2 linked regions of the Caenorhabditis elegans genome follow. The protein of the gene in region 1 interacts with the protein of each later gene in a pairwise test. Each region holds a gene or a part of one and is shown on either strand. Other genes may lie near its edges.

Region 1 (10,814 bases):
CTTTTCTATGTCAAACATTTCTTTTTTTTAATGCTATAATTTACTGTTTCAAATATTTGCTTTAAATAAAAAATGTTGAAGAATTATGTTTTGGAAATGCTAGTAAAGAAATAAAAGTTAGCAGACCTATTAAGTGAAACAATGATTTTTAAAGTTCAAAAAAATTATTGATTTTTGAAATTTCGCTATTTTTATTTATTTCCCCAACAATGAACTTTTTCTTTATGTTTTCATTCACAATTTCTCAAAAATGTCGGACTTGTGAAAATTTGCCATGAGTGACATTGGGAATGATAATTTATTCGAATTTCTTAATCATTTATACGAAACAGTGAATACTTCTCAAAATTCTCATTTAAAAAGTTTACAGTTTCAGAAACGTATTTTCTGACTAGTATATAATAAATTCATGTTGATCTGTTTCAAATATTATGAATTCTAATCTATACTATTTGCGAATCAAAGGTTTTCTTCTCACTTGGCTTTACCTCAACACCATTAAAAAGCTGATATACTTAAATTTATTCAAGATTTATGTAGAACAGTAAATTTTTTTTCATCTAAACATTTTTTTAGTCAGCTGCAGAACATGCGAATTGAATTAATTTTCAACAAATTTTACTCAAAAAATTACTGTTTCAAAAACTTAATATTAAATATTATTGTAAACTCGATTTATTAAATTTTCCACAGCCTAACTATAAGACTTCTAATCTATGCTGTTTGCTAATCAAGTTCTCATGTCCACTTGACAGTTTGTTCACATTTGGCTCTTTTTTGCTCTTTTCGCTCCGGAAATTTCCGAAAATCCCCAAAATGTTGCATATTTCTAGTTCCCCACATAAAATGCTCCAAGTTCTCTGCGCACGCCCGCCCGTTCAAAAGATTCCAGTCGGCTTATCGATGCTCTCTCTCCGAGCACCTTGAACCGTCGTCGGCACATTGATTGTTGTATTTGCTCCGTGAGCACCTACCTCTCTCTCTCTATCTCGGAGCCAAAACAATCGAGGCTCTTTTGGAGAGAGAGAGAAAGCACACATACACATGATAATTCGACAAACACGCCCTTTTTCGCTCTGCTTCTCTGCGCTCTCTCGTCGTCTAGTCGAAACTGTGTGTATGTATGAGTATATGTACATTAAACATACAACGAGACAAACACACACAGTCGCTAGCAAGGAAAATAGCACTTCAATGACCAACATTTTGAAGTCGTAAATGTTATCATTAAGGTTTTATGTTGATTAGTTTCCATCTTCAAATTAGTACAGTAGCACATTTTGTTGATACGTGATACTGTCTGAGATCACTAGCTTCAGGTTGAGCCGTTCGTTGTTCCTCGTGGCGCAGTCGGTAATGCGATTGGCTTGTAATTTTGCATTTAGGGGTTCGATCCCGCATGGTGGCTAAGAATTATTATTTTAAAATTCATTGGCGTGAACATCTGGCAATATTATTTCCCAAATAATAGTTATAGTGAAACTAAAATCAAAAATCCTAAACTAAAATATTTTCTCACTATTTCTCAAATGCCTTACCTGAAACCGATTAAACCTTTTCAAGTTTTCAAATAAGTGTTACTTATGTACTTTGCCACGCCATCAATCCAAAAAAAGCCTATAAAAATGAGAGAAAGTACAGATTATGACAGATTAGTTGCGGTTGGGTCGAGAAAGAATTGGCAACAATGGACGGGTTGAGAAAAAAAAATGTTTTTGATCTGAAGTGTAAATATAACAATGTATCTCCTTAAGTTTTGTGGAAGAACAGGAGAAAAAAAACCGAATTTTTGATTTTTTTCCAGTTTGAAAATTTAACTTTTTTCGCGAATTTATTGACTATATTCAATGAAATTACTGTTTTCAAGGTAATTAAATAATCATTGTGAAACATTATTTCAAACGATGTCTTCATCTTAATGTAGTGAGACAACTGTTTCTATTCAAATTAACAACATGAAACAATATTTTGTGTTTTTTTTTCTGCAATAAGCATAACTCCTTCTTTTTACGCTCATTTCTCACCTTCACCAAAGTTCGACCCCATGGTTTTTTTTTCAAAAACTCTTTTAAAAAACTGAAAAAAAGCTATGTTCTCAATAATTTATATAATTAAATAATTAAATAATTTCATACCTTTTGAAACAGAAAATTTTTTTAAAAAAGTATATACCATACATATTTCCTCTATTAGTATTGCACCCGACTACTTAACTTTGAAACGTTATATCTAGGTTCATTTTAAAGATATCAATATTTTGTTAACTACGAAATGATAGAAAAAGAACTAGCAAATATTTTGTTAGTTGGCAATGTTTGAATAAAACAAACGATAACTGAGATATAATCTATCAAAGTTTAACAATGGGGATGCAATACTAATACGGTAGATAAAAAGTTGTCTTGATACATGTCGCAGAAAAATATGGGACTTTTCTATACCTAGATTTTTGGCGCAACTGGTGAAAACCCGCAAATGACTTCTACTTCTCTAGTATTACTCCGCGAATTCTATTAGGATTTTGCAAATATTTTGAAACAGTAAAAATTGTAACTAACTTTCCGATCTTTCTAGGAATTTCTTCACCAAATGTTCTCTTTCAAGTCCACATTTAGCGCACTCGGTAAGGGTCTTACCTACCACTCACAACACCAAAGTTCGACCCCACGGCCCTCGCAACTTCTTTCTCATGGGCGTGTCGATATGGGGGGTAAAATCCCGGTATTTTCTCCCGCAATTTGTATCTATCGAAATGTGTCCTTCCCACCCAATCATTTCTCTCTGTGTATCTTCCCTTCCAATGAATTATTTGACCTTCGTCATCGCCTCCTAGCGGGCGTCTTCTAATAGTATAGAAGGCGTGTGTTATAGGGAGATGGGGGTGGAGAGAAGAAGTTGACTACTACTGACTTACAAATTACCGCCTCCTCCTTCCCCGTTGCCTAATACGGGTGAGAGGAGGTCAACATGTGTGGTGGGAAATTGAACGGAATTCGGAAGGAATTGAAAGCGATTTGGGGAGGGAAAAGTTATTACTAATTGTTTTCCAGGTGTTCTAATTGTTTCGAATTGGCAAATTTACAATCACTAATTTTTGTAATTAAATAAATGAAAAATTACTGTTTCAAATTGTCTTTTAAAGCGGCTAACAGAACTGAAACGGTAATTTTTTTTGTTTTTTTTGGAAAAAAAATAGACTGTAGAAACAGCTGCTCAATTTTTGTAACGTCAGAGATGTGCTTTTTTTGAACTGGGAATGTACATTACTATGACTAATTACGTAATGTATTTTGAATTTCTTACTTTAAATGAATGTTCTATCAAATAAATTCATATCCGTTTCTCTCTCGCGGCAAACACAATAATTTTCTCGAAAAAAACATTGAATTAATTAAAAATATGAAACAGCAGAATTTTTCAAATTAGAAAAAAAAACTATCTTCGCACTATTCTCGCATCTGAAATATTGCTTCTAAATCACAACCAAACACATTAATTATTACTAGTGAAGCAGCTATTTTTTTCTGAAAATTATAAATTAAATTTAACATATATTTTCACTAAAACTACAAACTACAATTTGAGCACAGTAAAAAATTGCACAACTTTTGTAAAATCGAATTTGTAAAACGAATTAGTGTTTCTTTATACAGCAACTAATCCCACATATTTCAAAATAAGTAATGCAAGTGAAACAGTAAATTTAACAAAATTAACCTAATTTTCAAATGATTCTCAACCGAGCTTAAGTTCAATACCTATCCAAATCCCAACCAGTTTTTCATTCCAATTCCAATCCATCTACTTTCTCTCTCCACCTGTGTCTCTCACCTCTACCATACTATTTCTCCCACCTTTTCAATCGACAGTTTTTTTGCTGTTTCGGTTTCTACTGGATACACGCCTTTGGGGCGTGGAAATAGAAGAAGATGGATGGATTTTGGAGGAAAAGTTGAAGGAAAACTAGAGAATGCTGGGGCCCGGATACTTATTATTTCTTTGATTCGATTTTCTTTACTTTTTCCCCAGTTACAACAGATTTTGGAAAATTTCACGAAATTCAATTTTCTTTTGTTTCTTTGGATGTTTTTAAAAAGGGATTTTGTAGTTTGAAAACTTGAAAGCTTACAGAAAATTTTATGAAAATTTGCATTAAATTTTCTGCAGTTTCACACTCTTTATTTCAGCGTTATAGGGGTTTTTGCAACATTGCTTCAATTTCAATTTTTCCTATTGCTAAATATAGAAAAAAAAGCGGTGGCGAATTCTTTATGAAATTGTCTAAAATCCATCTTGTATACGTTTCAAAAAAAATTATGCTGTTTCAAAAATGTAACTTGTTAGCACAGAATATACGGTTTTCGTTCAGATTCGTTTTCAATCTCAATTTTCAAAATCTTCAGTTGAAGAAGTTATCTTTTTCTGTTTTTTCTTCGTAAATCTGAAAAATAATCACTGCTTCAAGTTATTTACGATTTTTAATTGATTTTGAAATCTAACTCAATTACTTTAATTAATTCTGTCATGTTAATACATCTACAAAAATAAATCTTACTCCTATATTTTTCATTCAATTTCAGATCTGATTGACTTGATTTTCAAGAGTATAGCTATTGCTAGAATTTTTAGTTGTTTTTAAATTTATCATTGATTTTCCGAGTATTGTTTTATTCACTAAAATTTCCAGATTCACAAAAGTTTTTAGTGAAAAATAAATCAGTGAATTGAAAATGTTTTAATTTAAAATTCAGATTTTTCTCTCAATTTCTCACTCTAGCCGCTTTAATGTTCTCTTCTCTCAATCTTTTTGTTAATTTTTTGAAACAAATTATCACTGTTTCAAGTTTTTTTAAAAATAATTAATCAATTTTCAATTTTAATTTTCACATAAATTGCTTTCGCTTTCATGATGTTATTTTCAAAACAATATTTTTCACTATTTTCATTTGTTATATAAAACATGGTAAAACTTCCCATTATACTCTCTTTTTGCTTTCTTAACTCTAGTTTCCAAATTAAAATTAAAAAATTGTTTCTAAACTTCAATTATATTTTCCTAAAACTTTCCACGAAAATTAAAATTCATTAGAATTTCTTACAGTTACGAAAAAGGAGCCAAACTTTGAGATTTGAATTCAAGTTTTCCACTTTATAATTAAAAATGAAAATTTCTTCCTTATTGTAACATATCATTTCGTTAATTTTTTAAACCAAAACTTTAAAATTTTCCTGTTTCACGTTGTTTATAAGAAACATTGATTTTTTAAAAACATTGCTCGGTGGATTTTCTGAGTCTTTTTCAAAAAATAAAACAAAACTTTTCTCATGTTTTTATTGGTTTTCAAAATGTCATATATTTTTTACTTTTCCAATTCCAACTACAATTTTTCGAAAACCCAATGCTTCAATTTTTCTTCCATAACTTTAAAGTTAAATTAAATTTGATTTTATTTCAGCCAGTCAAATGCCATTTGCTTAAAAAGCGAGGAAATTTATCATCAGTGAAGAAGTGTAAAACATCTATTAAAAATGATGCGTCGAGGTGGATCGATGGGTCCACCGAGCGGGGATCCATATCAGAGGTTAGTATATTGTTTTATGAAAATAATTTAAACACAAATACAAGGCAAATTTGATTACATATTGAGATAGTCAAATTTTACAATTGAAATAAAGTTTTTAAAGCTTTAAACTTGTTTTGTATTGAAAATCCAAGTATTTGATAATTACTCCCAAAATTGTGTCAATTTTCTAAAAATTGCTGACAATCTAAAAGGTGTGAGACGAATTAACTCAACAAACTAAGGAAAGCAGAACTAGAAAATATTTGAACTTTTTTTTGAAATAGAAGTTATGAAACGGTAATTTTTGCGAAATTTTTTAACCTAAAATTTAACTTCAACGTATTTGAAAATCCATTACTGCAAATAAATTTTGAGACTGAAATATTTCTCAAAAATTGACTATTTCGCAATAGATGTTAAATGAAATTTAATAAGTCACCAGAATTTCAAACAGGATGAAAATGAAAAAAAAACAGCTTCAAACATTTTTGTTGAAGTAATTTTTTTAAATCTAAATTGCTTCCAGCGACTTTTTAGAGCTGTTTTCTGTATGTTGATGGCTCGTAATACCCTAAAATTCATTTTTTTTCAAATAGAAAAAAAAATCGAAAATATCGCTGTTTCAAAGAAATGTTATATTTTCAAAGTTTTATCAATGAATTGTTCTGCTGACCTTTTTATTATGAGAAGATCAAATTAAATCATTTATCAAATTGAAGTCGATCCCCTATGAAAGTTCGACTAAACTGACTTCAAACCGCTTTTTAAACCGAAAATTGCAACATTCTTACTGAGTCAATAAAAATTAGAAAAATTAAATGAAGATGCTGAAACTGTAGAGTGTTTCAATTTTCGGTTTAAAAAGTGGGTTGAAGTCAGTTTAGTCGAACTTTCATAGGGGGTGGAATCCTTTAATCAGAAAATTTTAAACTGGATGAAAGAAGAAGTAAAAACAAACAAATAACTGCTTCAGATTCATGTTATTTAATTTCTGAATTTACTTTTCCGTTAAAGAATTTACTTTAAACTTTTTTTTTAGCAAATTAAAAATAATCTTTAAAAATCTAAATCTTGAAAAAGGAAAAAAAAAATGTGAATATCAAAATTTTGACCGTTTCACATTGTTTTTTTTTAATATTGACATTTTCTGGTAGCATAATATCAACAGAAGAATATTACTTGTTAATAAAAAAATATTAAGAAAATTAACTATTTCGCTTTCCTTATAAATATTCGTTATCAGATTTTATAAATTAGTAAGCTCTCGGAATTTTCTTAAATTTTCAGTTTTAAAGTCAAAACGACTTCCTTAATGTTCTAGAATAACTCAATCAATTAATTAACCAATTAATCCGTTGAAATGTCCCAGTTCGACAGGATTTATTGAATTTTCGAAATGAAGTTGATTAATTAGTTTTCAAGATGAATATCTTATTTCTCTGTTTCACCACCACACCTCTTTGGGTGTGGTTTTGGAAACTTATTTGGAATGTGAACGATTTTCCTAATGCCAATGAACTTTTTGCATTTTTTAAATTAGTTTTTTGAAACAGTGATTTTTTGTGAAGTCGTTTAATTGTAAGTTTTCAATATTAAACACCTTAAAAGTTAATTTATTGCGAAACCCCCTATAATAATGATTAGAATATTTCAAAAGTTGATTTTGAATTACTCTGATAATGCGTTTGAAATAATTTTTTCTGTTGAAACTAATTTGTTTTTTATGGTTTCCCTGTCTTCTGCATTTTTTTGAAAGCACATCATTGATAAAATGTTTCTAAAGTTTTATATTAAACATTTGGAACCGTGAAAAATTTTAAAACAACTCCAATATAGCTAACTTTTTTACATGTGCTTGTTTTTTGGAACAGTTTATTTTTTGTGCAAATTTTTAAGTATAATATTTTCAACATTTTACCATGTTTCAATGTAGTATTAAATTTTACCTCCACCATAAAAAATTATTGATTTCAATCTTATTGGTACATAACTCAAATGTTGAAAAAAAAATTTGTTGCACAATTGGAACTGTTTCAGAATTTCCCTACTTTCAAGAACAATTTTTTTTGGATATCGCAGTGTCCAAGTTTTCGAAAATTTTAGTCAGAAACCTGAAACTGTATCAATTTAAGCAATTAAAGTAAATTTAAAAACAATTATTGTATTCTTAAAAACCTGAAAATTGAATTGTTTAAAAGTGTAATTCACTGGAATTCATCAATATTCAAACTTTTCACATATTATGTAGCAAAGTGAAAACAGTAGAATTTTTAAAAAATTTAGAAAAGTCCTATACATTTTCAAGTTGCGATCAAAAATGGAACAAAAAGAAGCTGTTAAGTTTTGCTTATTCAGTCAAACTGTTACTATAAAATATAAAATTCAAAAGTTCAAGAAAATCATTTAGATATGTAACCAAATAATATTCGACTAATTTCTAATGAAAATACCTACCTAAAATCTAAAATCGTAATCACGGTTTCACAGAATATTATTTGGTTACATATCTAAATGATTTTCTTGAACTTTTGAATTTTATGTTTTATAGTAACAGTTTGACTGAATAAGCAAAACTTAACAGCTTCTTTTTGTTCCATTTTTGATCGCAACTTGAAAATGTATAGGACTTTTCTAAATTTTTTAAAAATCTTTGTGAAAAATGCGACTCTCTCTTAAAAAATTCTCTGTTTTTGTATCAGGGGTGTGCGGCAAATTTGCCGATTTGCCGAAAATTGCCGACTTGCCGAGCTCGGCAAATTTGCCGATTTGCCAAATTCGGCAAATTTAAAAAAACCAGCAATTGCCGATTTGTCGAGCACGGCAAATTTCAAAAAAGTAGATTTGCCGAATTTGCCGAGCTCGGCAAATTTCGAAATTTGCCGCACACGTCAAAAATTTTACAGTACAATTTTGACTAAAATTATTGATTTTTTCGCCAAAAATTTAGTAAAATGACACAAAATTGAGTTAGTTTTATGCTTAAGCAGACATACTACACGGAACTAATTCAGAAACCAGATGTGTGTTAAGAATTCGGTAGTTTTGGTGTTCCAAAAAACATCAAAAATTATCAAAATTTTCCGAGTTTGTTAAGCACGGCAAATTTGCCGAATTTGCCGAATTTGCCGTGCTCGGCAAATATTGAAAAACCAGCAATTGCCGATTTGCCGAGCTCGGCAAATTTTGAAAAACCAGCAATTGCCGATTTGCCGAGCTCGGCAATTTTTTCCATTTGCCGCACACCCCTGTTTTGCATGTCTTCATCGACTGCGGATCGTTACAAACATTAAAACAATGTAGTGAAATTGTATACCATTAAATTTCAAATGAAAGTTAATTTTGGAAATTTTCTGAAAATTTCACTGTTTCGACAAAAGAATATAACAGTTTTCTTTTTGCGACTCCAATTCCGTAATGTTGTATTTTCCATGCATAAATTTTTAAATTAAAAAATACTGATTTGTATTTTTTGTAATAATATACTTTCAATCATAACCTTTGTAAAATTTGTCAGAAAACCCAAAAAAAATTGATAAATACATACCATTTTACGTTTTTCTTACTTTGACAATGGTTTGAAAAAATTAAAATTCACCAGTTGCTTAATGAAACATCTATATATTTTTCTCTCTTTTTAAAGAAAAAATCGCTTAAAATTAGACAAAAAACATTGAATCACTATAATGAAATTGTTTAGAAAAAGTTAATTGTGGAAATTTGAAAATTTTTCACTGTTTCAACAAGTAATTTTAAGATTTTCCTTTTTGACCTCTTCAGTTCGTTGAAAGCTGAACACTTACATTTATTTAAAAAAAGTTAATTTCCAGGAAAAAATGTACATGTACAATTTTTTGAAGCACCTGAAATCAAACCAAAAAATTAATGTAGTGAAATTGTATAGATGTAACTTTGTGTAATGTTAATTTTGGAAGTTTTTAAAAATTTTCACTGTTTCAACGAATAATTTTTGAAAATCTCCTTCTGATTCGTTCAATACCGACGCTCTTCTTTTGAAATTAAACCAAAAAAATTAAAACACTATAATGAAATTGCATATAATCGTGTTTATAAATTATGGAAATTAAAAAAAAAATTCACTGTTTCAACAAATAATTTTACGATTTTTTGTTTTGACCCCCTCAAAAAATGAAATAAGTGTGGTGAAACTGTAATTTTTAATTTCAATTTTCACTGTTTCACCGGATAATTTCAAATTTATTTCCTTTTGAGCTCTTCAATTCCCAACACCGTCCCCCTTTTTATACAAAGCTTCGTACATACACATATAAATATGATTTCTCCGTCCGTCCAACTGATAAATGCCAAAATGTTACGTGCATCCCTGCTCGGCGCCAATTCCTGTCTGCGTCTCTCGCATTCTCCACGCTCTCTCGACGATTTGATGTTTAAGGAGAGTAGGTGTTGAGTGAGGGAGAATGAGAGAGGTACTGATAACGAAGACAGAGGAAAAAGGAGCTATTGTATGGAAAATGACAACATTCCGCATTGGCAGCTTTTATAACTTTTCCCCCTTCGTTTCCCGCCGATTGATTGTTGTACAGAATCTATAAAAATTTAGATTTTATGCTCTTTTTCTGCTATGGAGTCTGGAATGTGTGTGTGTGTTTTGAACTGAAATGTCTGGAATTTCAATTTCTGATCACTGAGTTTATAGGAAAAAAAAGTCACGGTTTCAAGAATCTGATATACATTTTAGCGAAACTGATTTGAATCACTTAAGAGATTGAAAAATATAATTAAAAAAACTACTGTTTCAAATGCGTTATGTTATAATTTTCAAACACAAAATTCGGTTCTGAAGACATTTTGATTGGATTTTGAAAAATATGATTCGAAAAAAGTTACTGTTTCAAAACGTTTTAGATTTTGAAAACTTTCTGGTTGCCAATATTGTCTTTTTTTCGCACGAAATTTCAAAAAAAAAACATTTCAGAATATCATTGAAGGCTGAAAAAAAATATTACTGTTTCATGTTGAGATCATAGAAAATGAATAAATTCCTATTCGTTTACTATGTATTTCCTTTAAAAAAAATCTACTACGGGAATTACAAATAAAAATTAAATGTCACAACTTATATTTCCAGTAAAACGTACTTTTTTGTAGAATTGCTAATAAAATTTTGTTTGCTAATTATTTCTCCCACTGTTTTATATGCTTCATATATGCAATGTAATATGATTTCATTGTATTTTTGTATTCGTATTCATTGTATTCATTATCGCGTCA
Region 2 (5,369 bases), on another chromosome or scaffold:
TCTTATATTTAAAAAAAAAAAGTTAAGATGAATCGTTACTTTTCCAGAGATTTTACAAACAATCCGAAAAACTTTGCAACTATATTTCTACCATCAGAAGATAGTTGCTATAAAACTCAAATTTGATTAGTCCATGAATATAAAATGATTATGTGATTTTTTAACAGCAAAAAGGAATGGAAAGTAATTTTTGAAAATAAAAATTGTTTAGGCTTCCCGCTTGAAAGAACGGAAGAGGAAAAGGTTGGATGACCTAACCTAGACATGCACACGGAGCAAAAAAAAGTTTTTTCTCCTTCTTTTTTCACAAGTGGGTTGGAGTCGCACCTCTCGAAAACTAAACAACCAGAACCAATATGCGTGGATATGTTTTTCGGCACCTCAAAAAGGAGGAAAAACACACCCTATGATGAACCCTCTGTATGCAGGAGTATTCCTCTTTTCTTGTTGTCAATTTTTTTGAAGAAAAAAAAAGAAAAGAAGGCGACTAAGACAGAGGCAGAGAAAAAAAGTGTCACATACAGATCCATGAGCATAATTTTGGATGTTATGTATCGCCGCGTTTGTTGTCTTTCTAATATTACTGCTCTTTTTGCTCGTTTACGTCGTCTAGTATTCCCACTTCTCACTACTACTCCATGACCTATTATCTCTGTTTTGTCGCTTCTTCTCCCGAGATTTCCCCTTTCTCTGAATATTCTCACGCTTTCATCTTTTTTTTTTTTTCTTCTTCCACTAGTTTTTTGCGTTTTTCTACTTCAAACTAAGATGGTCCCATTTTGTTAAAATTGATTAAAATTGATGTCTAGACTATTTCATTCAAAACGATATAGGTTTCAGCGAAGAAGAAGAAGAACTCTTTGAAAGCTAAAATAACATCTACTAAATCTGATTTTTCAAAAAAAAAAAACGGATAAGCCTAAGATAAGACGATTTTGCGCAAAAAATTAAATGTATTTATGACACAATTTTGAAAAAATTACACTAGTGGCAATATTTAATTGAATTTTTAAATTAAAAATGATACTTTTTAAACGCAATTTCCAAAAACGAATTATTTAACATTAAAGTAAAAGATTCCCAGTTGTTCTCCGTGTTTAGTTTTCTAAAAGTATTTTTTGACAAAATTTCCAATAGAGCCTCCTACAAATTAAAATTCCAAATAGTGTTCCAGTAGTAACTTTTTTTTTCAATTTTTGCAATGTTAGTCACTTTTCAGCTGTATGTATTTTATCTAACAAAATAAAGTAAAATCACCAACTAAAATATGCAAATAATAATAATTCGTTGTGACACGAAAAAAAAACCATAGTTGAGGATTTTTGATGACATTAGGCAATTTTTCGAATTTTCAAACAGCTATAAATAATTTTGAAAAATAAATTTAAGAAATAATCACCAAGGAAAGTTTAAAAAGTTCAACTGAGCATACTCTTTTTTACCTCAAGGCTTTATTTCCAAATACTCTAGTTTCATTTAGTTTTATTCATTTAAGTAAGATCCCAGGAATTAGAAATGAAGCCGGATTTGAGAAAGTAATCTTTCACTTTCCTCTTTTCACCTAGAAAACAAAAAAGTTCATTTTCAAAAAAAATCAGCCCCTAAAATTGTAACAAAAAATGCCAACAACTTACCGGAAGCCAAAAAATTGGTGCTCTTCCACAATTCTTTCTTCTTCCTCTCACTTTCCATCGACTCCATCAAGACGGAGCTGTATCATCCAATGAATTGTTTTGCATCGTCCGTGCATCATAGAAACAGGTGTTCATCGTGTTTATCTTGCAAACTCACCCAACCGACACTCATAAAACTGTGTATCTCTGGAGACTGGGAGAGATAACATCCACTTTCTACTCTTTGTCGAGCCTCTTTCATCCAGTTTTTTTCCGGTGTCAAAAAAAACTTCATATTTTCTTTTTTTTCATATTTATTCGTTTTTTCTTTCTGCTTTGAGATTTTGTCATATCTTACAAATCCAAGAAAAAAAAAAGAAAAATGTAATATCTTTCCTTCATCCCTTCCTTTTTATGTAGTTATTTATGTCTTCTTCTTTAATTAAATTTGTTTTTTCTTCTTATTTCCCATTATTTTGCTAACACCTTATTTGTTGAATATTCGATGGAGAGACTAATAATTGAACATTTTTGCATCCCAATTTTTCACAAAGCTAATATTTCGCGGTTTTTGATAGTTGTTTAAGACTGGGATGTATAGTTGGTGTTTCAATTTTGTCTACTCAGTTTTTTTTTCAATTTAAAATTGTTTTTGAAACAAAAACGTAAAAACCATTACATAAAAGTTTATAAGTAATTTAAAAGTTCCATTAAAAACAAAAAATAACCATGGTATAATCAGAGTATACATATATTGGGCATTTCAGAAGCAATAACTTCCAAATAACTTCAATGTGAACTGGAATATATGTAGTGACAAAATGCGAAATACTTAAATTGTGTAAGAGTTTAGTGTATACAGATTAAAATAAACTGACAAACTAAAAAAAAATTATAAAAGTATATATATATATGTCAAAAATTTGAGACTAGTAGTAACCTTAACAGTAAACATATTTTCAGCATGTTTTTGGTATAGCTCTGCACAAAATGGTAGTTTTATGAAATTATTGTGCTCAATGTTATTTCCTTGAAATAAATCTCGATTATTTTTTGAATAGTTACACTTTTTGGTTGAAGTTATTGCACCAAATGGAAATGAATTTTTCAAAAAGTTTTAAGTAGACGTATGAAACGGAAATAAAAAGAGTATGCAGAAAAAGATGCAAACCGAAATTGTTTGAAAAAAAAAACTTTAAAAAATGGCTTTGTTAGCCTTAAAGGAGTTATTGTTTTGAGCATTAGAATTAGATCCCAAGTCATTTGAGAACGTAGGAAAATCAAAATGTAGGTTTCTCTATGTAATTGATCGTAGTAAAACCCATGCACGTAATTGCTTCTATTACATTACATTACGATTTTCATATCAAATAATTTTTTTTCAGCATCTCTCAAACTTAAAGTTTAGTGTTTTGAAAAGATTTCAAATCTGTTTACTGTTTTTGTTACAAATACATCTGGCTAACCCGCCAACTTTGAATAAACACGATACTATTCCGGCAAATTCAGGAATGTTTGCTAAATGACAAATACAGCCGCGTTTCAATAGGAAACTAGAGGTGGAAAAGATGAAAAGTGTCCATATTTGTCTTGATTTCCTCTGCCATGCCGCAATCAAACTTTCTTTCACATAGTTGTTCTGCTTCAATAATTTAAGATTGGATGGTTTGATTTTGCATTTTGCAGAAAATATTATGTTATAAACAAGAAAAAATCCTAAGTTTAACGATTTCCGTCCCCCACGCACTCAAGTTCATTAAAATTAATGACGTAATGCTTACCTCTTTTTATAAGACCGCAACATGAGATTTTCCATCAGACAAGTACCACCTCAAATCCTCAATTTTTTAGTTCTCGAAAGAATGTTGCGGGGTTGATAAAACATGAATCTCTCTTGCAATCATTTATTGACATTATATCTCCTCCTAACGATCAAATCAAATTGGCCGAAAGAAAACGCGTAGAGCCCCCCCCCCCCCCCCCGCCGCCGACCCAAAAAACTGCCATTTTCTCTCCAGTCTCTCTATTTCAATATTCATGCGAGCCTGATATGCTTTTTCAATTTAATAATCATTCACTGTCCCTATGAGTTTTTTTCTGGTTATCTCTTTTTTTTCTTCAACTTTATCATTTGTTTATTCACGTTTATCAGCATTTTTCAGCTAAAACAGAATGAGGGAGCTTGACCCGGACGAGTCGAACCTTCTCCTCGATGAACAACTGTCGATCCGGGATGTGATAGAACAGTAAGATTTTTGAAAATTCAGTTAATTCTTGAAATAACTAAGAATTTCCAGAGGTCCATTTTCAAATGTATACCGAATACTTCATGGACCATCAAATCGAAAATTTTTACTGAGATCAATCAATTTGAATTTGTTCAGACAGCACACCGGGTTAGGATTTGAAGGTACAATTATTGTTATACAGTTGTTACATGGGGTACGACTACATGTAGTAGTCGTATTCCAAAAAAATTCTACGCACCTACTAAAATGATTTGTTCAATTCAAAAGTTGAAGCAGTGTACTTTTGTAGTAGCTGTAGTTGCTCTACTATACAAGTATCAAAAATAGTTTTCTCCCATTTTGATAAAGTCTTTTTTTAATTTTGGTTTTTTGTCTTTACAAAAATTGATAGGTTTTTGTAATGTTAATCGATCTAGTGATGAACTAATATCTTTCGAAAGGAGGCTCAAATGCAGTTAAAAAAAAGTTAATTAGAATAAAAATATCCAATTTCATTGGTTTTCATCCAAATACCATTGAGACCGTTAAAGAAAAGTTTCAACATTTTAAAAACAGGAAGTCATCGTTTCAACACACTGTCTCACAAAAGACTGAATTATTAGTTTTTGATGTTTTTTTTCGAATTGAACAAATTCAGGTGGTTAATACACTTTTTTTTTAAAGTTATGTTTTGACCTTTATTGTGGATTTTGAAGAATAAAAAATTTCTCAAAAAACAACCTGAGTGCACTTTTAAAAATTGAGAAAAAAAAAGTCCCCGCAGCGGATATTATTATTCTCGCCACCAGTTTTCCAATCAGAAGCGCACAAAATGTCCTCAAAGTTCTCATCTCATGAGCTCAGCAGCTCCAATCCCAATTCATCAATCAATCTATCAGCCATCATGTGTCATTTCGAACTTTGATCATTTTACCGAATCCGATCTAAATATAATTATTTCATTCCAAACCATCTCTTTTTCAGAAATCGACGAGGAAATTAGAATATGCCAAAATCTACAGCACCCTTACATATGCCGACTGGAAAAAACTATCAACAGCGTTCATTATCGACATATCATTTTTGAGAACATGGAGGGAAATGATATTTGTTTTGAAATAGTTCAAAGAGCAAGTAATGGATTCGTATTTTCTGAATATGTAGTAAGGTTTGTATTTTTACAATATAGACTGTGTGTCACGGCGTGTAAATTGGGACATCTGGCCTAGCGAAAAGTGAAAAGTGAGAATCCTAGGCCATGGCCGCTGCAAAGCGCGCGAAATTTGAATTTAAATTTTTAATATCATTGAAATTCGATGAATGAGACATTATAATGGATAAAACTGCAAAAATATATACAAAATTGTTTTTAAAATGGATAAATCACATATAACAACGATTATTTTCCTAAATAAAAGTGGAAATTCGATTTATTAGGCAATTATTAGGAAAATTCGACAAAAATGGCACATTTTTGAACTTTTTTCAAAAACTAGATCCACAAATTTTCTGAAATTTCACCAGATTA

Evidence for each region. Proteins that work in one complex are often made in the same cells at the same time.
Region 2: the proteins of eps-8 (region 1) and lin-2 interact in a two-hybrid assay, tested with the Caenorhabditis elegans proteins (4 studies listed by BioGRID).

Annotation. Positions count from the first base shown.
Region 1 is NC_003282.8:14,874,034-14,884,847, forward strand, and holds the start of eps-8 (SH3 domain-containing protein), read left to right. Parts: upstream 1-5,529; coding exon 5,530-5,582; intron 5,583-5,636; exon of another isoform or gene 5,637-5,657; intron 5,658-5,795; exon of another isoform or gene 5,796-5,816; intron 5,817-6,008; exon of another isoform or gene 6,009-6,030; intron 6,031-6,228; exon of another isoform or gene 6,229-6,249; intron 6,250-6,333; exon of another isoform or gene 6,334-6,354; intron 6,355-6,573; exon of another isoform or gene 6,574-6,594; intron 6,595-6,723; exon of another isoform or gene 6,724-6,744; intron 6,745-6,818; exon of another isoform or gene 6,819-6,842; intron 6,843-6,895; exon of another isoform or gene 6,896-6,916; intron 6,917-7,048; exon of another isoform or gene 7,049-7,071; intron 7,072-7,303; exon of another isoform or gene 7,304-7,324; intron 7,325-7,526; exon of another isoform or gene 7,527-7,550; intron 7,551-7,616; exon of another isoform or gene 7,617-7,637; intron 7,638-7,760; exon of another isoform or gene 7,761-7,781; intron 7,782-8,806; exon of another isoform or gene 8,807-8,827; intron 8,828-8,971; exon of another isoform or gene 8,972-8,993; intron 8,994-9,341; exon of another isoform or gene 9,342-9,362; intron 9,363-9,558; exon of another isoform or gene 9,559-9,579; intron 9,580-9,705; exon of another isoform or gene 9,706-9,726; and 13 more.
Region 2 is NC_003284.9:12,412,442-12,417,810, reverse strand, and holds the start of lin-2 (Protein lin-2), read left to right. Parts: upstream 1-3,769; 5' UTR 3,770-3,785; coding exon 3,786-3,859; intron 3,860-3,910; coding exon 3,911-4,023; intron 4,024-4,825; coding exon 4,826-5,009; intron 5,010-5,369. UniProt on the Caenorhabditis elegans protein: May play a structural role in the induction of the vulva. May be required for the localization of signal transduction molecules (such as let-23 receptor) to either the basal membrane domain or the cell junctions.